Daphnia pulex: one gene and its partners. The protein of the gene in region 2 interacts with the protein of the main gene of each other region in a pairwise test. Links are inferred from orthologs where the notes say so. Each region holds a gene or a part of one and is shown on either strand. Other genes may lie near its edges.

The links.
Region 1: the proteins of homeotic protein ultrabithorax-like (region 2) and 14-3-3 protein epsilon interact in a two-hybrid assay, tested with the Drosophila melanogaster proteins (2 studies listed by BioGRID). The link is inferred for Daphnia pulex from reciprocal best matches to the Drosophila melanogaster genes Ubx and 14-3-3epsilon.
Region 3: the proteins of homeotic protein ultrabithorax-like (region 2) and armadillo segment polarity protein-like interact in a two-hybrid assay, tested with the Drosophila melanogaster proteins (2 studies listed by BioGRID). The link is inferred for Daphnia pulex from reciprocal best matches to the Drosophila melanogaster genes Ubx and arm.
Region 4: the proteins of homeotic protein ultrabithorax-like (region 2) and T-box-containing protein TBX6L-like interact in a protein complementation assay, tested with the Drosophila melanogaster proteins (2 studies listed by BioGRID). The link is inferred for Daphnia pulex from reciprocal best matches to the Drosophila melanogaster genes Ubx and Doc2.
Region 5: the proteins of homeotic protein ultrabithorax-like (region 2) and 26S proteasome non-ATPase regulatory subunit 11-like interact in a two-hybrid assay, tested with the Drosophila melanogaster proteins (2 studies listed by BioGRID). The link is inferred for Daphnia pulex from reciprocal best matches to the Drosophila melanogaster genes Ubx and Rpn6.

Annotation. Positions count from the first base shown.
Region 1 is NC_060024.1:10,588,760-10,592,812, reverse strand, and holds the start of 14-3-3 protein epsilon, read right to left. Parts: upstream 2,801-4,053; 5' UTR 2,634-2,800; coding exon 2,570-2,633; intron 910-2,569; coding exon 710-909; intron 649-709; coding exon 542-648; intron 216-541; coding exon 78-215; intron 24-77; coding exon 1-23. Other genes in the region: piwi-like protein Siwi, read right to left, coding at 3,872-3,988. UniProt on the Drosophila melanogaster protein: Positively regulates Ras-mediated pathways. Acts downstream or parallel to Raf, but upstream of nuclear factors in Ras signaling. Three mutants have been isolated, that suppress the rough eye phenotype caused by mutated Ras1 (sev-Ras1 v12).
Region 2 is NC_060024.1:12,334,270-12,339,807, reverse strand, and holds the start of homeotic protein ultrabithorax-like, read right to left. Parts: upstream 3,371-5,538; 5' UTR 2,611-3,370; intron 1-2,610. UniProt on the Drosophila melanogaster protein: Sequence-specific transcription factor which is part of a developmental regulatory system that provides cells with specific positional identities on the anterior-posterior axis. Binds the consensus region 5'-TTAAT[GT][GA]-3'.
Region 3 is NC_060020.1:4,722,842-4,727,137, forward strand, and holds the start of armadillo segment polarity protein-like, read right to left. Parts: upstream 2,801-4,296; 5' UTR 2,644-2,800; intron 2,457-2,643; 5' UTR 2,419-2,456; coding exon 2,385-2,418; intron 2,319-2,384; coding exon 2,179-2,318; intron 2,117-2,178; coding exon 1,996-2,116; intron 1,932-1,995; coding exon 1,744-1,931; intron 1,684-1,743; coding exon 1,525-1,683; intron 1,440-1,524; coding exon 1,285-1,439; intron 1,199-1,284; coding exon 897-1,198; intron 837-896; coding exon 688-836; intron 604-687; coding exon 394-603; intron 331-393; coding exon 198-330; intron 137-197; coding exon 15-136; intron 1-14. Other genes in the region: cysteine desulfurase, mitochondrial-like, read right to left, coding at 3,874-3,937, 4,050-4,245. UniProt on the Drosophila melanogaster protein: Isoform neural may associate with CadN and participate in the transmission of developmental information. Can associate with alpha-catenin.
Region 4 is NC_060017.1:3,031,733-3,035,642, forward strand, and holds T-box-containing protein TBX6L-like, read left to right. Parts: upstream 1-1,292; 5' UTR 1,293-1,508; coding exon 1,509-1,617; intron 1,618-1,719; coding exon 1,720-1,939; intron 1,940-2,014; coding exon 2,015-2,279; intron 2,280-2,358; coding exon 2,359-2,505; intron 2,506-2,574; coding exon 2,575-2,683; intron 2,684-2,755; coding exon 2,756-3,249; 3' UTR 3,250-3,410; downstream 3,411-3,910. Other genes in the region: hypoxia up-regulated protein 1-like, read right to left, coding at 3,676-3,723, 3,780-3,871.
Region 5 is NC_060026.1:15,973,869-15,977,701, forward strand, and holds 26S proteasome non-ATPase regulatory subunit 11-like, read right to left. Parts: upstream 2,427-3,833; 5' UTR 2,307-2,426; coding exon 2,249-2,306; intron 2,187-2,248; coding exon 1,942-2,186; intron 1,857-1,941; coding exon 1,686-1,856; intron 1,623-1,685; coding exon 1,339-1,622; intron 1,266-1,338; coding exon 1,142-1,265; intron 1,082-1,141; coding exon 956-1,081; intron 892-955; coding exon 661-891; 3' UTR 501-660; downstream 1-500.

The DNA of each region.
Region 1 (4,053 bases), about 1.7 Mb from region 2:
AAAAGTTCAAGGCCAATCCCAATCTACAAATGATAAAGTTAAGTTGAGGATCGGCAACAAATTGTTAGTTAAGTTACCTGATGGGATGGGTGGGGGGTAATTCCGTCATGGCAATGTCGGAGGCGGCTTTGTAAGCCATCAACGAGTTCTCTGCAGCTTCCTTTCGGTCATTTCCTGTCGCAAATTCGGCCAAATACCGATGGTAATCACCCTTCCTGTATAACACAACGACAAAAGCAGAGGAAGGGAGTTGTGTAAAATCGTCAATAATCAATACCAGGCCATCCATCCACAACATGTCTGCGCGCACACAAAGTTGCGCTTGGCGCAACGTTTACGTACGATAAAATTGTGTACACGTTTGGTAGAGATAGTAACGACACTTTTTCTTTTCTCTCAAAGCGAAACACGAGTAGAATTCGAAATCACAGACGCTCGAGTCTCAAGGACTTTGAGAGAAATCCACCGGTGCATTTAATAGGAATGTCCAACTACTACTCGCAAGATTGAAAAAAAAAAGGCCAAGCAAAAATCGATTTACATTTTGTAGTAAAAGACTTTAGATTCTCCAGTGGTGGCTGATGGGATGAGATGCTTCTCGAGGACGCTCAAAATATCAGAGCAAATGTCCTTCAGCTCTTTCTCGACCTATAGACAAAACAGATAAAGGCACAAATCAATGAATAAAATTTGAATACATTATCCATACCTGATTGCGGTAATTGCGGATGAGTTCAAGTTTATCTTCGGCTCCCTTGTTCTCCTCTTTCTGTTCAATGGACGAGATGATGCGCCAAGATGCACGACGAGCGCCGATCACATTTTTGTAAGCCACGCTCAGCAGATTCCGCTCCTCGACAGTCAACTCGACGTCCATCGACGCCACCTTTTTCATGGACTCGACCATTTCTGCATCAACAAACAGATTATCATATAGTCTTAGCCAAAGAAACTTGTCAGAGGATCCCTTTCTCTTTTGGACAGAAAAAGATAGATACACTTTCAGACATAAAGGCTTTGCCTTCTTTCCCCCCCATCTCCCTGTCTACCCCACCCCCCACACTCGAGCGACTTTTCAAGTAGCGGATCAATAACGGCCACGGGAGGAAACACGCTACCGCCTAGTTCCGCCCGCTCTCCACACATCCAGCACGTCGCAGTCGTCATATAACCCCCAACATCAGCATCCCCACGGCGGAAGGAAGGAAAAGTACAGGGGCAAACCGAGTTGACGTTACGCACACACACACAAAACTATGTGTGTCCTCTTTTTTTCTAAGGGAGGAATTGAAAAATAAAAGTTTCTCCAGCTGGGCGTACATGTTTGAATTCAGGGAAATAATAATAACCAGACGATCGAGTTGTATGCACGGACAGGCTCTCCACTTGGATTCACATCGCAGTGGCGTAATGACAGGTTCTAGGGCGACACACCCACACCGCATTTTCTCTTCTTTCCAACTTCCCTCCATCATTGAAACGTGAAGGGGGGGGGGGGGAATAAAGTTAAAAATATAAAAACTAATTTTTTTTTTCTACAACGACAAAAGGCACGAGACGCGTCACGTGCGACAACTATTTTTTCGAAAATATGTGGAAATAGAAAAACGCCCCATTCATACCAGTTGGAATATTTTCCTAAAGGAAAAAGACGAAAAATAAAAATGGTGGCTAATTTTCCATCGGGTTTCTCCGCCCACTGTCAGAGCTTGACCGATTCTTGGTTTTTGTAAGCCGCAGACAGAAGAGTCGAGAGAAAAATATAGAAGAGAAAATTAACCATCACAGGCGGCCATTGTTGTGTGAACGGTTTCCTTTTTGATGTCCTCGAGAGAGAGAGAGAGAGAGAAGCTTTTTTAGACGGCACGTTTTCATCAACGTAGCCAGGACCCCCAACGCATCACGCACATAAGGGTGGGGTACTCTACCGAGCGTCGTTTTGAAGAGATCCGTCGCCTTGGTGATGCGCAATGGTGAGAGGCCCAAGTTGAATAGAAACGACTACGTATTTTTCACGAAAAAGAGAATAAAAAAGTTATTGGAAAGCAAGTATACAAAGAGACAGTCCAAAGTCTCTGCTCTCTCTCTCTCTCTCTCATGACTCATTGATCCAAGTCATCTCGTTACGTAGCGGTAGGTTTCGAGGAAAACCACCCAGAGATACACACACACACCGGACACACACCCAGAATTACTTTTTTTTTATTTCGTACTGCGACAAAAACCCTCAAAAGAGATTCTAGAAAACATGGCTGAGATTATACTATACTTGATAAAATGGAATTGTCAGGAAAAATGAACCTCAAGTACGAGTGTCATATTGATCGAAAGTATTCAAGCCAACACTAAGAGGGGGGACGCCGCTGAATTTCCCCATTACACAACCGAATGTACAAGAAAAAAGACAAAAAGTCAAAACGTCATAAGTCTGTCAAACGCCCAAGCCTTTTTTCAAAGCCGCCTACCGTCTCGTTCGGTTTTACCCACAGAGATGCACAGTCATAGAGACACAGAGGAAATGAAACTTCATTCTTTTTTTCGATTTTACATTTAAATGACATTTACGTACCATCGTATCTTTCGGCTTGTTCGGCGAGTTTTGCCTTGTAAACGTTATCCTCTCTGTCTGCCATGGCTGCTGGAATAAACTATAAGCAGATGTCACTGGATAAAGAAACAAAAGCGAGACCGTTGGAATCGGAACCTGCCTCGAATTGTCTCGACTAAGACCAAAGAGTGTAGCTAGCAACTGAGACTCCACCGTACGCTTGCTAGAATGCTTTGCCCTGTAGCTAAAGCGGAAAATGCCAGCGAGAGTCGATGGGATGGGAAGAGGCCAGATTGCCAGATCTCGTTTCTTATTACCTATGCATCTAGCAGCGTACAGTGCTGACATCTATACAAGGCCAAACACCTTTGGGGGCTGTCTAATCTTTTAGGTATTTAATTAATTCTTATGAAATAAAACTTTTATTCAAATTTTCTATTATCCGAGTAATGACATGTTCATTCTAATCATTTGATTCTATGCATACTTTTTGTGAATTCATTATTGGATGTCTAGCAACCATCTATTTTGTTACGTAAATATTATTTTATCGTGTTTTTAAAAAGCTTCAAGTTATGAAATCAAGTCATTTTATAGTATTGAAATAATTTTTATAAACGATTTAGTTCGCTGTGGGACGATTGAGATCCCTTGGTTACAAAAGAGACAGCCGCATGGTGTCTCTAGTGGACAATTAGCAATTCAATGACTTGCGAGTTCTTTTGGCTTTTGCGGACCTGAAAGTTGACTATCGAGGAAGCCCAGACGATCCTGCCCAGACGTACCCTTGTTGGCCTTGCAGGCCTGCATTCTTCTCGATACAGCTGTCAGCTTGACCACGCCTGCCAAGCAGCGATGCCACATTCTTTTGTTTTCCTCAGTGCTTTCGAAACACCTAATGTGCTATGTGCATTGCACACGTAGAGCTTTTCCGTCAATGCCATCTCAACGCGAATTCCATTGCAACTCATGTTTATTTCATCATATAAAAACTCACCACACGAAAGTCAATAAATCTACTTCATTTAAAAACAAAGGTTTATTACTCATTCCTTGATTACATACAACATGGCACAAAGGGGCGTTCATTATCACACTTCTGACATGGCCCATGAAGGTGAAACAGAAAAAAAAATTGCATGAAAAACACTTCCATTGTCGATATCCGCCATTGCAAACAAACTCAAGAAAAATATTTTTGGCGTCATTCGAAAATCGTGCGAGTGAGGCATGTCTCGTCGTCTTTTAGTTTTTTTCTTATGAGTGAACAAATTAATACGTTAAAAATGACAAAACTTAGGGAGAAAATAAATGAAAGGTAATTCAAAGGTAATAAGGAAGTCGATTCAGTCCTTCATGCGGTTGCGTCATCATTGATTCACCAACAAGGTACGCCAACTTGTGCGCATACTGGATGGGCGCTGGAATACGCAGGGTACCCTTAAATGAACAAATTGGTTAAATTCAATTCTGAATAAAATAGACAATAAAAATAAAAAAACTTA
Region 2 (5,538 bases):
CCTGTGTTTGTGTCCCAGACTCGAGGATGAAGGATTTTTTCCCTTTTTTGACAATCTCTTTCGTCCTTGAGTCCTTTGGCGCTCATGAGAGTACCTCACCGACTCTCGCTCAGGACACAATCAGACGCAACTTCTCGGTTCAATCGAAGGGAGGCCATAAAAAAAACAAAAGCCGATAGCTAGTAAAACAATTTGAAATTAGAGTTACAAGGTATCCCCTCTATCCAAGATAGTTTATATCGATGACCACCTTTTATTTTTTCGAAGGGGGTCACAACCTTAAAACGAATAACCTTTCCATATAGCGCCCGGCACTTTTGTTTTTTTCCTGTCCAAATCTTGTAAATTTTTGTCTCATGACTTTTCTTTTTTTTTTTTAAAACAAAATGATGTGAATCCTTGAATAAATATAGATTTTCCCAGTTTGAGCCTACGGTGATGTCTACAAAAGTATTTCACTTTGTGTTATGGCAGTCATCCAAAGTGCTACTACACTACTACTGTACGTCGTCGCCGTCGTCTTCTTGATTTGCTGCCAGCAGCATCCGATAGATCGCCCTAGCTCTTCTTCTTCTTTCTCTTCCGACTCCTTCCTCTGTTTCTTTCGACTTGGGAAATATTTATGGAGACAAGGAAACCATCCGTAGTTATATCTGCGGAACGGAACTCTCGTCTTCTGCCTTCTACTCGGCTCCCATAGCTATGGGACTCTTGTTTTTTTTTCTTTTCTATTTTCCGCGTGTCCCGGCAGCTTCACGCAGCCCTGATCACGGCCCCCGCAATTCATTATATTTTATGTATTTAGTATACGGCCTATTATTATTATGATTATGATTATTATGATTTCAGTTTGACGTTATGTATAACATTTTCCAGATAGCATATCCCCCCTCCCGACCTCACGCGCCGGATGTGAGGAACTATACAAGAAGAAGAAGAATAAACAGTGCAGTCATTGAGAGCTAGCGAGCTTCGGCGGAAATGGTAGAAATAGTAGGCCACTAGCAAGTATATATCCCAACTGTACACATGTGTAGTTATGGGCTGGCTAGGCAGTAGCTATAAGATTTCTGTATTAGATGTCGTAGAGTAGACAAACACCACCACGTCGAAGCCACCGAACTGAAGAAGAAGAAGTCGACGACGCCCAGATAATTATCATGATTATATTCGTACGCTCTGAGTATATGTAGTATATATACGTACGTATGTATATACTGGAAGCATTAACACGCATATTTCTCTGGCTGTATGTATACTACTCGAGTATATATGCACATCGCGATGTGGATATACATTTCAGTCAACATGTATTTATTTATTTGGTCATTTAAATGAGAAGGAAAAAGAAAACACGGACTGTTGGGGCCGTGTGTGGGAAATGGAACCGCCGCCGCCGCCGTTGTGTAATGTTGTTACGAAACGCGACTTGTGCGTAAAGACGGCAAGAAATTGGGCAGCCAGCAGCAGCAGCAGCAGCTCTGACTAAATTACATATTACTGATATTTCTTATGCGTATAGAGAAGTGTAGGTTTTAGTATAGCCGTCGACGTTGCTGGGCGCTCTCTTTTCACTCTACTGGAGTCATTTTTGTTTGGTTTGGTTTTTTTCTTCTTCTCTTGCGGCCGCCGCTCCACCCCGTCCGGTCCTATATAACATTCACGCGGCATACTTGGCTTGACTTTGCGCGCCGCTGTGTCTGTGTTTGTCTGTTTGTGTGTCGTCTCTTCTCTAATCTACACACGTAATTTGGGCGTCGTGAGTCGACACCAACCGAAAGTCACTGGGAGAGAAGTTGGAGAAGAAAGGAAAGACGGGCAAAAAAATAAAAAGGGATAAATACTTCGTTATGCCGACGCTGGCTTCCCAAAAAAAAAACTCGCACCAATAGTCACGAACGGAGGAAGAAGAAGAGAAAAAAACAAAAACAAAAAAAAAACATCGACCGCAGTTTGTTTTCTTCGTTATTCCCCGGGAAAAAATAAAATAAAAAGTAAAACAATCATCAATACGCGTGTGCTGGCTTGCTGCTATTACCAAGAATGATTTATCCAAGTCGGTTTTTAGTAGGCTACATGTATGCGCAGACTAGATAGTATATCCTATACGGTGACCTTTAGGCCTATTTCGGTGAGGGGGGCTCCTAATGATCTTTCGAAGCGTTTCAGCGGTTATTCTCGATACCAACAAATTGAATCAACAAATATATAGTATATCGTTAGTTGACTTTTCGAGAGAGAGAAAATGGTGAAGAATGATAGGCCTGTAATGTGTTTTGGGGTAAACAGTTGGGCACAATTCGTCACAAAGTGCTTTTTAAAAGTTTTTTATTAGCCATTTGAACCGCCGCCTTTAGCGTTAGGCCTACAACTCCTGGGAGGCTCCTTGAACATCGCCGCCGAGTCCCTTTTAACTTTTAAAAACCACCCAAAAAATGTTTTTGAAAAATTTGTAACTGTGTTGAAATCGACGATCCAACTGCTGTTTTGAGAGTCAATCTATTGGTCGGTGCCAATCGCTCGGAGTTTGGCGATAAGGTTATTCGCTAATGTATGACTAGCGCGGGAAATTATTTTTTAAAAGGAGGATAAAAAGAACTGTGAACTCACCCAGGACTTTTTGCGGCTCTTAGTTGCGTTTTCTTTTGCCGAATCTCTTGTGGAAATGAAGCGATAAAATAAGGAGAAAGAGAGAAGAAGACGGCGGCGGAGCAGGAGGAGGGAGTAGTCGCGGTTTGCGTAATCCGTTGGCGTCGGGCGTGGAAATGGCCGTCCTTCGGCGTCGTCATCGGCCCGGCACTTTCCGCTCAACCAACAGACAGGAAACTCGCAATTTTCGACTCCTCTTTCTCTCTTTCTTTCTCTCTCTCTCGACTACCTCAACAATTTTTTCTTTTCTGGAGGCCTCGAAACACAGACACACACTCACACAACACACGCACGAAAAAAGGTAACAAGGTCCGCACTTGTGGGAGCCAGACGGATGGATGGATGGATGCCGATAATGATTGCGACGAAATATTTTCGGATGTCCAACGTTGTTGTTTTTTGTTGGGTTTTTTCTAGTTGCACCTGAACGATCACCAACTCACTGACTGGGTTATATATTGAGACTAGCTATTAACTAACTACTGTGTCGTCAAGCGCTGCTGGACGGACAGCGCTCCACTGTCTGCGAGTCCATCAGATGGACGGAATGGGCAACGAAACTTTTTTTCGATCGGGTTTTGACTTTGATTTTTTTGAAGGACAATGTCTCTGTGATCGAGCTGCTCAAAACATTGTGATCGGTCAAGCCTCAGAGTCGGAACTGATGTGATTGTGAGAAGGACATGCCACGGCCGATCAAGGAGGAGTCGCTCAAGAATGTGGCGTGTCCTTTTTTCTATTTCTTCTTCCAGTTCTTCTTCTGGTGGGGAAAGTTATACAAAGATGCTGGAGATGTTATTGGGGTTATACTCCGAAGGAAATTGTTACAGCCGTTCTTTTTTTTATAACCCCCTCTTTCCAGCTAGAGAAGTTTTTACCCCCTCGTCTTCGGCTGTGTGAGTCTGTGACGGTTATATTGCGAAGAATTGGGGGGTCAGTCGGGTGTTGCGTCGGAAGAAAAACGGGTGATATCGGGGGGGACCTCTTGCATAGCCACACGGATAGGATAGATGTATATATACGTGTATAAAAGGGTCGAAGGACACACAGAGTCAAAGAAGGGATATGCATTTTTTACGACTCTTTGGCTTCTTTGCTCTTCTCCGCGTTTTATTGGGAAGAGGAGGATGCCCACCCCAAATAAAAATTGGCCAGGGCCTATATGGTGTGTGTGTGTATGCGCACTATGTGTGTGTGTGTATGTGCCGGTTGCGCCCAACCCATGGTTGTTTTTTCGGGGGGAGACCCAAGAGAAAAGAGATAAGGGTTACGTTTTAGAGCAGTTATCCGCCGCCAAGACTGTCCCTTTTCTTTCCTTCTTCTTCTTCTTCTTGCCTTCAATTTTTATGTTCCATCCTTCTCTTCTTTTTGGGGTTATATATATCCAGCGCAATACACAAGAAAGAAAAAAGGTTTCTTTCCCAATAACAGGAGAGATTGTATAACTCTTAAGGGAAGGCCCATAGGAATCCAATATATGAATATACCACCACCACTCTCTCTCTCGCTCTCTTGGTAGATTTTATACAAGGGGTTATATTGGTGGGGATCCGCTATCCAGCCCCCCCTTTTTTCAAACTCTTGTCGCTTTTCTAGGCCTAAAATATAAGACACGTAGTATTAAGCTTACACACAAAGTCTGCTGGATGTGTCGTCCCCCCTATTTTTTTTTACAACTTGGATTCGGCCTTCGAATACAGCCGGAGAGAGAGTTAAGAATTTGAGTTGAAACATTTTGGGAGGCCTACATAACCCGCACTGGTTATGTTTTATTTGATTTTTTTCAGTGCAGCAACTTTAATTTGAGGGGGAAGGAAAAACAAAATAATAAATATAGAAAGTAATCTATGACTCCTTGTATTTTCTCTTTTTTTTACAATTGCATCTTGTCATGCCAAAAGAAAATTCAAGACAATTACAAGTTACAATTGCTATCGCTGTATTTTTGTTTTTTTCTCTCTGCTTCGTGTCTTTCTCTCGTTGGGAAATGATGAACAGGAATGAGCTGCTGCCGTTATTTGTCAACCAATGCTGTGTGAAGGCCGTTGTTGTGTTGAATTGCCCGTTTGGATTGATGGATAAGTTCTTCTTGATTGTTGTGTGAGTTGAAAGAAAGAAAAAAAATAAATAAAACGTCCGTTTCTATAACAAAACCACCAAATGGGCAATAACAATATCAGCAATGGGCCATTTTCACAGCGGCAGGAGTTGTGTTGTTTGTCTATAAAACACATCGGATGTGATTCAGCAATCACGACGACGGCGACGGTGTAACCAAAACTAAAAGAAAAAAAAAGGAAACACAAACACAAAATAATCATCATCATAATAATAAAAAATGTGTGTGTGTGTGTGTGTGTGTTACACGCGTTTTCTATGGTGTGTCGAGAGCCGGCCGTGATATAGTCTGAGCCACTGCTAGAAGAGAAGAGATGGTTCTTTTTTTTCCGAGGGCTTTTGATGGCCTATTCGACTTGATGTTTATGCGCAATTCAATCAAGTTATTAGGGTCATTTTGATGAGGGCAGGCACCGTGCAAGTGTCTGTGTGTATATAAAGACTCGACGAAACGATCCTATCCCGAACGAGATACTTCAACACAGAAAAAAGCCCCCCGCTGCTGCTGCTGGATGTGTGTGTGTGTGTGTGTAACTTTGGCTGGCTCTTTTCTCTTCTTCTTCTTGTATGGTCGATGGCGTCATCATCATCATCTTTACGACGGTTCCCTTTTTTCTTCTTCTTCTTTCTTTTATCCCTTTTATTTTTCAAGCGCTACCGTTCGCCAAGGAATCAACGACTATGCTATTTAGAGTCATCACGGCGGCTGAAATGGACGCCATTACATTCAATATGTACACCGTCGTTTTATTTTATTTGCCGTTTGTTTTT
Region 3 (4,296 bases), on a different chromosome or scaffold from region 2:
TAAAACAAACGTACTCGTTGGATGTCTTGGAAAGCACGGATCAACAGCTGCACCAAACGAGTAATAACTCCTTGTTCTCGCAGCGGAGCGTGGTTAGCAGGGCATAAAGCCAGATTACGAACCAACCCGATCAGAGCTAAACAAAAATGGTAATTATGAGACATTTTAAAAGACAAACTTGCTATAATGATACATACCCTTGATGAGTGGCCAACGAGAGGGGGGTTGCAATAAACGGACAATGACGGGCAGTCCACCACTAAGACGAACAGCATTTTGAGCCATTTCAGCTTCAGCGTGACGTGATGTCATGTGACGCAGAGCACATATCTGTAATTAATGGATTTTGTAAGAACCAACACGTTTGTCATTTTAAAAAGATGGATATATTACGGCAGGTTCGGTGATTTCTTCACGATCGCCAGCATGAATAATGGTGCGAACCAGCGCTTCGATACCACCGACTTGACACACAACAGTCTTGTTGCGTTGGTTGTTGCAAGTCAAGTTAGAGAGAATTCCGGCAGCGCAAGTGATTACGTTAACATCACTAGAACCTAACAACTGAACAAGTCCTTGAAGCAGGGTTTCTAAACCTTCTTGCTGTAAGAGAAAAATAAAGGTATAAGCATTGTCCTTAAGATAGGAGCAGAACATAAAATAATTTTTCTTTTAGAAGATAATCACCTGCTTGGTCGCAGCATCGGAAAGATTGCGGCAGGTCCATAAACAGTTCTGAACTAGGCGATGACTTTGGTGGCCCAAGTGCATTGCCAACGCTTGCATACCTCCAGCTTCAACAATAGCTGGTTTGTTGCTAGAACAGACCGACAGCACTGGGAAAAAAATTTATAAATAAATCACGTACATTAAACATTACGGTTTTTATAAATTACCTTTCAAAACTCGTGAAGTGGTCCACAGCAGCTTTTCGTAAGTATATGACCGAAGAATTCGAACAAGTTCCATCGGCCCCTGTGAAGCTAAAATGATCAACTTGGATTCTTGATTGCCATACGCCAGAATTTGAAGACAATCAGTAACGATTGCCAAGAATTTGACATTGTTGCGCTGAAGGAGAGCAACCATCTTCTGTAAACCACCCGCCAAACGAACGGCCATTTTTGAGCCTTCTTGATGGAGCAGCAAGTTGTGCAGCGTCGTGATAGCATAAAAAAGAACGGATTCCACGGGCGAGCTTTTCGAGATGACAAAAAATAAAAATAAGTAACGTTTGAAGAAAGCCGTCAGTTCGGACACATGAAGGATGAGACGGGACAATACCTCAACAGCTTCACCAAAGCTGGAATTCCCCCAGATTTAAAAATAGCCAACAATCCTTGGCGGTGATGTGATAGGTTGTGCAGGGTACCAACGGCACCTTTGGTTGTTTCCAGGTCATTGCTATTGGACAGTGCTCGAACGAGAGCCGCAATCATCTACGATCAAACGGATATGCATTATGAACTTGGAAAATAATTTTAAAAGAAGTGTAACACAGAGTAATAATAAAATCATAGAAACTTTGGTTGCCTGTGGGCTATTCATGATAGCATGGCGGGACGCTTCCTTCTTGGACAACTGGTGAACCATCATGGCAGCATGAGATACGACAACTTGATCTTCATCGTTCAACAACTTGATCAGTTCGGGAATAGCTCTTGTAGCTAGATCAGCATCATCCTACCAACCCAAATATTATTACTTTAAGCAGTTCAAAATTTTGAATTTCAGCAATAATACCTGATAGTTGATCAAATTAACAACGGCATGTTTCAACATTTGCGACGGTTCGGCTAAACGCTGAACAGCAGTTGGCTGTGTGGTATCAAACTGAGTAGATGGAATTTCCATTCCTTCATCCAGTGTCTCTGGAAACATGGCAGCACGAATACGCTGGGAGCGAGTCTGGTTTAACTGAGCATTCATGTCTGTAACAAAGTATTTGATTAAAACATATACCGCAATAAGAATCAAAAATATTTTATTGTTTACCTTCAACTTGGTCTTGAGTATAACCAGCTGAATAGCCACTTGATCCACCCATGTTAAGCATGACTCCTCCTTCAGAAGTATCCATATCATCATCACCACCTCTTCCAGAGAGTGATGGGGCCTAAGAAGTAAACATTTAGTTCGAAAGGTTACCTTCACTCGCACAATTCACTCAATATTTACCTGAGTGGTTGCCCCACTTTGGATTCCTGAATCTCCTACATATCCAGGTTGCCCAACTCCTTGCCACATCAATGTATGTTCCTTAACGCTGGGCATAGGAAGATCAGCAGGGCTATTGCTAACATATTGCCCATGTGACACTATACATACAAATTAAAGAGTTATAATAGATTTAATGAAAAATTTTAATTTAAAAAAGCTCATACTTGGCCTCCCTTGTGCCTGCATCTGATAACTCATGATGCGGCTGTGTATCGACGACTTTGCGACGAGATAACCTTAAATAAAGAAACGAGGGTAAGAACCAGGGCTAACAAAGTGTCGCAACTATGATGAAGTAAACTGCGTGTTTGACTGTCACTTGAGATTTCGACACAGTAAAAAGCCATTCAAAAGTCGAGAAAATTGTTGTTTGCTTTCGAAAAACATTTTAAGTGTAATTTTAAACAATTTAAGGTCACATACCTTTGGAATTTCGATTTGGTGACAAGAGATTAACAGAGCCACACCTGCCACAATCAGAAAACAAGGACCTGCTTCGTTCTGAAGTACTGACGCGTCTAAAAAGCCCTTAAAGATGGCGGCCATCAGCTTGAAACGGAACTATTTTTTTGGCGTTTTCTGTTTTTCTATGGTAAACCAATAAAACCAAAAACATTTAAATATAGCTTGAAATTACGTATTTAATGTGTTTTATTCCAAAACAAAAAAAAATAATAAAACAAATATTTGTGGGAAAGTCCAATAATATTTTAGAATATTTTTTAAAATTTCTAGCGTAGGAATACATAGCTAGTTTCCCCTGCCCGTTTGTCCAGACGGAAAGAGTGGGAGGGGAATAAAAAAAAGTTTCAAGTTCGGAATGACTCACAAATACCATTGAACAAATGATAAAAAAAAGTGCATTGCTTCTCAAGCAGGTTTTTAACCTCTTCCTTTTTTAATTACCTAGATACAGCTATGTAATAAATAGGTTGGCATTTCAGGGGTAGGGAGCCGTGGATTGCTGTCGATTGGCTAAAGAATAAATCGCCGCAATATGAAATTTCGGTTTTTGTACTTTTTTCCCGATATGCAGCAATGAAAAAAACAAAAGTTCGCTTGCTCGCTTAAGATTACATTAACTTCTTCACCTTTTCCAAACTTTAAATGAAATTCATGTAATGACTTCAAGTATAATGTCAAGTAAAAGTGCCCCATAAATCACATACAAAGAGTGTGAAAGGAATCAAAAGTCTTCGTTACCATGCACACCTGCTTTTTTGTGTGCTAGGAACGACTTCAAACTTTTTTAACCCAAAGAGCTTCGACGGAAACTTAGTCGTTTGGCATTGTCAAAAATATCAACTCGTTTATTGAACAAAAAACGGACATATTAAGGCTGTCAAATTTCTCTGCAGGATGTGCCGTTTTTTTTTTTTTTTAATCTATTCTAGATCTAGTCCTTCGATACTTTATATTGACTTATTATTGCACCGCAATGGTACCGATAGCTAATAAATTTCCCGGCTCATTTTACTGTTAAAGAGTCCAAAGTAACTTGTAACTTTACGATACCATTTTCTGCAACAATCGTCTTAAAAGATATTAAAGGTTATTGGTCAACACTATTTTCAGTGTATATTTCCAAATCATTTTCTTTACAAGGCTGAATTTATACAGCAACATTTTCAGTTTTGTTTTTGAATGGAAAGATTAGTGCTGCGTCCATTTGATACTTTTCAAATCAATCCCTTCTTGGACCATTTCCCAAAGAGGACTAAAAGTGGAGAAAAAACATAATTAACATTTTTAGCAGAAATGAAGGAAGTTATTTGTCGGGGAATTCCAGACCCGGGTTACGGTTCGACTTCTTCGAATTCGGTATTTACCTCATTTCCCGAAGTTTGGTGACTTGATGAATACACTTTTGTGCGGTGTAATCAACCTCAGCTTCGGTGGTGAATCGCCCAATTCCAAATCGAATAGAAGAATGCGCCAAATCTTCTTCAGCGCCAATGGCCCGCAAAACATATGAAGGTTCCAGCGATGCTGAGGTGCAAGCACTTCCGCTTGATAGTGCCACGTCTTATGTAATAAAAACAAATATAGTTAAAAAGAAAGGTAGTGGAAGTTGCC
Region 4 (3,910 bases), on a different chromosome or scaffold from region 2:
TCCATATAATTTTGGAGAGGGGGACTCTTGTCTGTATACGGTTCCGTGTCATTATTTGATGATTGCCGCCCACAGGCAAATGATTCCATCCATTCCGTTGTGTCGTCAACCCCCCACATTGGTTATGTCGCCGTTGTGTCGAGGGGCTGGAAACAAGACACGCCTGTAGGCTCAACCGCGGTCCGTCATCGTCGATTGTCGCGTGAAAGCGGTGGGATGGATGATGATTTCGGGGTTCCGTCTCTTTCTCTCTCTTATCATTTCGAGATTGTGTCTCTTTTTTTCTGGCTATATCATCTTGTTTTTTTTTTTGTTTTCAATTGAAAAACCCTGGCCAATTTTGCGGTAAACCTTGAAGCGTGACTGAGTGGATTATCTCTCATTTTCAACAAGGTAGGAGAAGAAGAAGAAGCTATATATAAGAAGATACAAGCTGGTGGACATGGCGCCAGCCGATCGGTTCCCATCGGACTTTTATTTTTTGTTTCTCTTCTTCTTTTTTTTCAAAAAGAAAAGGAACAACTCGCATGTTCTCGTTTCACTTTAAAGAAATAAAACCCTCGCCATTTACCAGGCAATTGACACTCGATATGCGAATCGAACAACAAAACAAAAACACAAACAAACTATGGGTTAATGAAAGCAAATGGATAGGTGGATGCGGTTTATCGCGCGCATCTAAAGCAAAAGCGGGCTGAGGCTGGCGGCGGCACTCGGATACACATGCCAGACGTATCCATGGCTGGATCAGCAGTTTGGCTGTGCATATAAAGAAAATGGGGTAAATAAGTGGGTGGACAAAAGAGGCCTGCGACATTGAAAGTACTACACATCCCATACATGTCTATAGTATTTTTTATTTTCAAAAATGGCACACGGAAAGAAAGATGGATAGTAGCAATCTCTCTCTCTCTATGTGGAAAGGCAGCAGCAGATGGTGATAATTAGATAAAAGATAAAAGATTGAAAGAAAAGAATTGAACGCAGAGACGACGACCGAATGAAGGAGGAGGAGGAGGGATCAAGGCATCAAGACTTGAATGGCCGAGAGATAATAAAAAGCGGATTGGGGGGTTCGGAAAATGGATGGAATGAATAAGAAAAGAGAAGAGGAAGGCCCGAAATTGGGGAGGCGACCAATGGCGAACCAGGGTCTCTCTCTCTCTTTGGCAGCCCACCCAAGGGCTATGGCCAGCACACAATTCCGGAGCCAGCGCGACGATCCGTCTCCACTCGTACGGACTTGCGAAAAAGCAACTGGGAAATAAAACATGATATCTATCGGGTCGTCTTCACTCTTCAGCATCAGTCGTTCAAGTATCTCAGTCCAGTGCGGTCGCGTTGTGTGTGCGTCTTCACTATTTGAAAAATAAGAATAACAACTTTTTGCTGGCCCATTATCAGTGTGTCCACTCCAAGACACTTAACAGAGTGTTGTGTGCTTGTGTTTTTGTGTGTGCACAGTTGATTGTGAGTTTAGAACCCAACAAGTACAAAGCCATTAAATCATGGATGCGGCTAAATTGGCATCGTCGGCCGTGAGTCGAGAAGATGAGCTTCAGCAATTGGCAATCCATGCGGCCGGAAATCGATTCCCAAATGAACGGAGACCTTACGGTATGTTTTCGTTTTGCATTTGGGTAGTGAAGAAGAAGAAATTGTTGGTGGGTTCGTTCGTTCAACTCTCCGTTTTTCTCTTTCTCCCTTTCGAAACAATAGAATTGCCACCGATTGGTAGCGCTGGATCACCGTATCAACTTCCTCCGTCGGCGGCAGCTCATCACAGTGCGTCGGCAGCTGCGATGATGGCCCATCGCCATTTGGCAGCCGCCGCTTCCGTCAAATCCGATCCCAACATCAAAATTGAATTGGAAAACGCCGAATTGTGGCAACAATTCCATCAGATCGGCACGGAAATGATCATCACAAAGTTGGGAAGGTGCGTGAATCAATCCATCAATCGGGCGAATTTGTTTCTCTAATCCAACTTTTGATTTCCTTTGAAAATAATCAGACGGATGTTTCCGACTTTGAAAGTCAACTTGAGCGGATTGGATCCCAACACGAAATACTTTGTCCTGTTGGATTTAGTCCTGGCTGATGATTCTCGATTCCGTTTCAACGCCGGATGGCTTCGTTCCGGCAAGGCAGAACCACAATGGCCGTCGAGGATTTACACCCACCCGGACAGTCCTGCCACCGGAGCTCAGTGGATGAAACACGAAATCTCATTCCAAAAAGTCAAATTGACCAACAACACCATGGATCAGCAAGGCCACGTAAGTTAATTGATCATTTCGTCACACATTAATTGCGACTCGGGTATTAACGGACAATTTTAATTTTTAACCTATACAGTTGGTTCTCACCTCGATGCACAAGTACGTTCCACGAATCCACGTCATCGCAGCTTCCGATTACGCAAGCCTCCATTGGGGAATGCCTACGACCATCAACACCGCGGCTTTCAACGTCTGCAGTTTCATCGCCGTCACCGCCTACGCTGTAAGTTCTAAATGTCGGAAAAATTCAATTACGAACGTATCAATAACGATTATTCTATTGGATTTCTAGAACGATCGAATGACGCAACTGAAAATCGATAATAACCCGTTCGCCAAGGGATTCCGTGAAAACGGCCAGCTTCGAGTGAAAAAGCGACAATTGAGAGACAGTTCACCTGGTAAGTCATTGATTCACCTGCTCGATTTCAAACGGAACCCGTTGTATTAAACTCGTGTCTTGATTCGTTTAGAAAACCGTAAAAAATCTCGACCGAGCAGCGCTTCAAGCTCTCATTCATCACTCAACATCACCGACGACGAATGCAATCCACCAACAGCGCCCGGAGTCCTCCAGGATCCTGTCACTCCGCCACCTTCGTTGACAGTTTCGTCGTCATCGCCCATCAAAGGTTCACCCACCAACTTTTCAATCGCTCGCCTAGTGGGAGAAACAACCAGCCCGGCACCCATCATTTTCCGACCTGAAATGCAACATCATCAGCCGTCATCCTTTCACCATCTTCATCCAGCCATCCATCCGTGGATGGCAAATCAGCATCACCACCATCTCAGTCCTTATTCTTCTGTGTTTGCTCCGAGGCTGACCGGATGGCCTCACCACTTGCCTTTGATTCCTATGATGCACTTTTCTTCCATGTTCCAGAATGGCCCTCATCACTTGATGATGGGAAGCCCTGGCTCGACCTCACTCACTGGAAATCCTAATGCGAACAAACTGTTTTAAAAATTCTCGCCTTATTTTCTTCGTTGTCCCTTTTTTATTTTCTTTCGTGTATTCCCTCTAGTCAAAAGGGGTATGCCGCATCACGTGCCTTCGCTCCGCACTCCCTGTTGATATAATTGTATTATTTTCACGTTGAATAATCAAACAAACACAAAACAAAAGTGTCGCAAATATCCCATATTCTATTAGCACAATGAAAAAGTGATTTTTTTTTCATTTCTCACTCTTTTAAAATTAATTGATTATTACACACACAAAATAAAAAAAAAATAAATACAAATCCAGCAAATTGAATTCATTTATTCATTAAGTAAGTCGAAACGGCTTCGGTGGAAACAAAAAAAAAAATTATTAATTTATTTATTTCGATGTAACGGGAGAATCGAATAAAACGTCGCCTACTTCTCATTTAGAGCACAGCAGCATCTATTTCTTATCGCCTTCAATCATTGCAATAACCTTGGCTCGAATACCCTATAAAATCGATAAGATAAATAAGAATTGTAAGCTCAATCGTTTGGTTTTCTAACCTCGGCAATTTTCGCAAAAGCTGGCTGAATTGTCATTAATTGCGACGGCAATGGACTTGAAGTTTCCGAACAACTCTTGGAAGCTGCAGCTTCTAAATATAAACAGATTCAATTAAAAATACGAACGCACT
Region 5 (3,833 bases), on a different chromosome or scaffold from region 2:
ACGTCCATATCGTAGCGTGATGAACATTGATAACAAAATTGACCAAATAATATTTACAACAACCTTCGCGACAGTTGTTTTTCTCCCCCCGTTTTGCAATATGTTTCTAGGAAATCGCAATTGTGACAATTTGATATTTAATTTAGTCGACACACATCCTTCCATTAGAATTTGTGGGGACGTAAAATAATTTGTTTGTTGCATTTGAAAGCGTTACCCACCACTGATTTATCTTTGAAAGCCAATAGTTATATACGACTAATTAATATTATACTTGTACAGTGATACATTCCCCCACACACACACACATTTGTGACATATCTATTCGAGCAATAATGAATTAATTGCGATTTTTTTTTAGTCGGAAATGTAGATCAAATATTGTTTTAATTAGTATCAGCATAATGATGCCATGTTGTGTGATGAATTTTCCCCATTAACAGTGCCTGTTTTGTTGGTTTAAAGTAAGAGAACAAATTTGAATAAAATGTAATCTTAACTTAATGTAGGAAAAAGAATTATTTTTATTTTCTCTTGGTAGTCCCAAGTCCCAATTCGAGGTTTGATGTTTTACTGGAACATACAAGTGATGGAAATAATATTTAAAAATTACCTCCCCGACACTTTTATCTGATGATTCTCGCAGATTATGTATACAAGTTATGTCAGTTTCTTGGCTTTCTGATACAATGTGTCCACCACTTTGCCGAGGTTCTGGATTGTGTCTAACGCCGCCTCGTAAGTGGAGTCGGTGTGGGTAGGCTCGAAGATGATCAAAACACCATCACCCTGATCGAGAATGCCAGACAGCTTGCGATCCAAAATCATCTGCGACAGCTTCTTTTCCACTTGATCAACCGGCAGGGCAATAATTCGGGCGACGTGTGATACCTTTAAAATTCAATGTGGATTTATACATTTAAAAAACTAACGCTTTATTGAATGAATTAAATACCTGGACACGAGAATAAGGCTCGATGATTCGACATAAATTCTGCTCCAACATGGTATCGTAAAGCGACTCCAAATGTGCCTTGATGATGGGGTCTTCTACTAATTCGGCGCGATAGTCTTCCAGGGCCTGAAATCATTATATTTTATGTTAAACTAGAACCATTTATTGCTAAAAGTTTGAACATACCTGTTGAAACTGGGCTAGCGATCGCTTAATTGCTGATTGTGCAATGGCTTTCAAGGCTTCGGCTTCCCGACCGGCATAACGCAAGGCTAATTTTCCACTCAGAATATTCTGCACATCATCTGGCCTATTAATAAAATGGAAGAAATGGAAAGATAATTAAAAATTTCTTGAATTTGAATTGATCACCAATTACTCACGTGTTCAAAATGATTTTTGACAGAAGCATGTACTTAAGACCCGTAACAGCCCTTGGGGAATCGATGCTGTCATAACCCTCAAAAGCTTCGTAAAAGTAAGAGTAGGCTGTTTTGAAATCACGTTCATCGGCAGCATGTAGAATTCCAGATTGGAGGTCTAGTGCAGCTTGAAGTTTTGGAGGGCAATAGATAGCATTTGCTGTGGTCCTAGCAGAAGTTAATGCAGCACGGGATTTGGGCAAATTGCAGAGGGCATGGTAGGTTTTCGATTCCAATAGCTGAACCTGAAGAAATCAATCAAACAACTGGATGAGTAAGGGAAAATAAAATAAAATTTATCACCCTACTTCAACAAGGAGATACTTGTCATCCAGTTTCTTCAACTCTTTCAGTAAAGTTGCCCCTAATAGTAATGCTTCATTATACTGTTTGGTGTCGAAGTAGAGGGCAATCAACCTGGCTTCTAAACTCTGACGAAGGAATGTTCCCTTCTGTTCAACAGCCCAGTTAATGCATTCCTACAATTGAAAATGAAATAAGAGAATAAGATTTGGTTAGAAAACTATTGAATCCCAGATCTGACAATGATTTGTTCATATTTACTTTGCAGAGCTGGACTTCAGTTCCTGTTTGGGCTTCCATGTCAAGGAAGAGATCAACAAGACCACGAACAAGTTTGGCAGCTTTCGCTTTGCTGATCATGGCAAGAAAAGGTCTGACATCTCGGATTAGTTGAGCCAATTCTGCAGCCTTTTTCTCTTTCTTGTATTTTTCTCCCAATTCCATGATCTCCAACTCTTTATTGCGGATGGCTTCTTCATCGTTGATGTCTCCACTTTCCATCGGATCTAAACATGTATAAAATTCAGCATGATAATTCGGTATTACAGTCTGCATTGATCAAACTTACCGATGGCAATATTCTCGAAAACTTCTCGAGTCGTAGCCATTGTTTGCAAAACTGCCATTGCAATTGTCAATTGATAACGAGACAAACAAGTCTAGAAATGACAATGACGAGCCAAAAACTCCTGAGAACCGGCGACTGGTTCGAAGGTTGAAATGAACAGCATCCAAATTTCATTTGCAAGTTGTTTCCAACTATTACTAGATGTCGTTGTAGTATGTGGAGAACCTCCTTTTTTAAAATACGCAATTAGCGGCATTGTTTTTCTTTGTATAACGAAGTTCAACAGGTTTTTTTTCATAAAATAGTTTCTCATATTTCCCCAAGAGTATTATTGGTTTGGGACTTTGGTCGGTTTCTGAGCAGACTATACAGAATGTGAGTATGAAGAAAATTGTGACGATGGGGGGCGTCGAATACCTTTGGAAACGACACTTGAAAGAAATTAGACGCTTACTGGAAGGAGCGTTCATTCCCCTGAAGAAAAGACCATTTTGAGTAGTGAAAGCGTTATTTATAGGAACCCCCATTGGTGAAGACGATGAAAAAAAGTGATTACGATTGCAAAGAGAACTCTGACGATGGGCGGTAATGTTCATGTTTCAAGTCCATCAAAAGGGAAACGTAGTGGGATCCTTGGAAAAATCTAAAACTATTTTAAGGTTTCATGGGCCGGTAAATAATTTGGCGTGCGAATGAACAGATGCGTGGACAAAAGGACCATACAGGTGGATGACGACCAGAATGGGAATATGTAATTAGGGATGGCGGGAAAATGAGCGATGCATTTATCAAAAGTGAAGGGACAATTTTTTAGAAAAAAAATTTTTCTTTAGCTTTTATCTCCTGGAAATGTTTCGCCTGGAAAGTGTTAGATTCACTGGTGCCAGCGAACTCACCCGGAGACAGTCACGAAAAATTCAAAAAATGGATGCCATCGCTGCGTTATGAACCGCTGGACATTTTTGCTAAACGCTGTAGTAAATCACGTGCGATGTTTTACCTTCATATTTAAAGTCGTCTACTCATATCCTAGTTTCTTTCGAAAATAAACGTGCTGAAATTACAGCACGCTTCAAACCTGGTGGTCATTCTTTAATGACTGAAGAACAATCGTGTCTTTCTACATTTGAAATTGCCAGTAGTCGCAATTAGCATGAACCGTGCATAATAGCGAAAGTGGTACAATTTGACGAGAATTATTGCACATCTCGCTCATTTTTCTTATTGTTTGCTTGTGATGGCATAGCGGTCAAACGCCACATTACCAACAAAAAAATTTATACCAAATACGGTAAAAATACAGCATAATGATGATCCGTAGCCAAATTTGCCAAGTTCAATGACAAGAAACGTTCCCCCACGAAGAACCTCGAATCGTCTAATTCTCCGTGAAAATACGGAAATGTTTGAACTTGGCTTTGCTAAAAGAATGCCATTGTTGCGACACAAACAAACACCGATATAATCGGTTGGAATAGACAAAAACGAAAATGCCAGCGGATATTCTTTTAGTTACCGCTGAATAAGTTTCGCGTCATCCTCGTAACTCACGCATCTAAGAATGCCCCAGGGATGTGCACCTCCT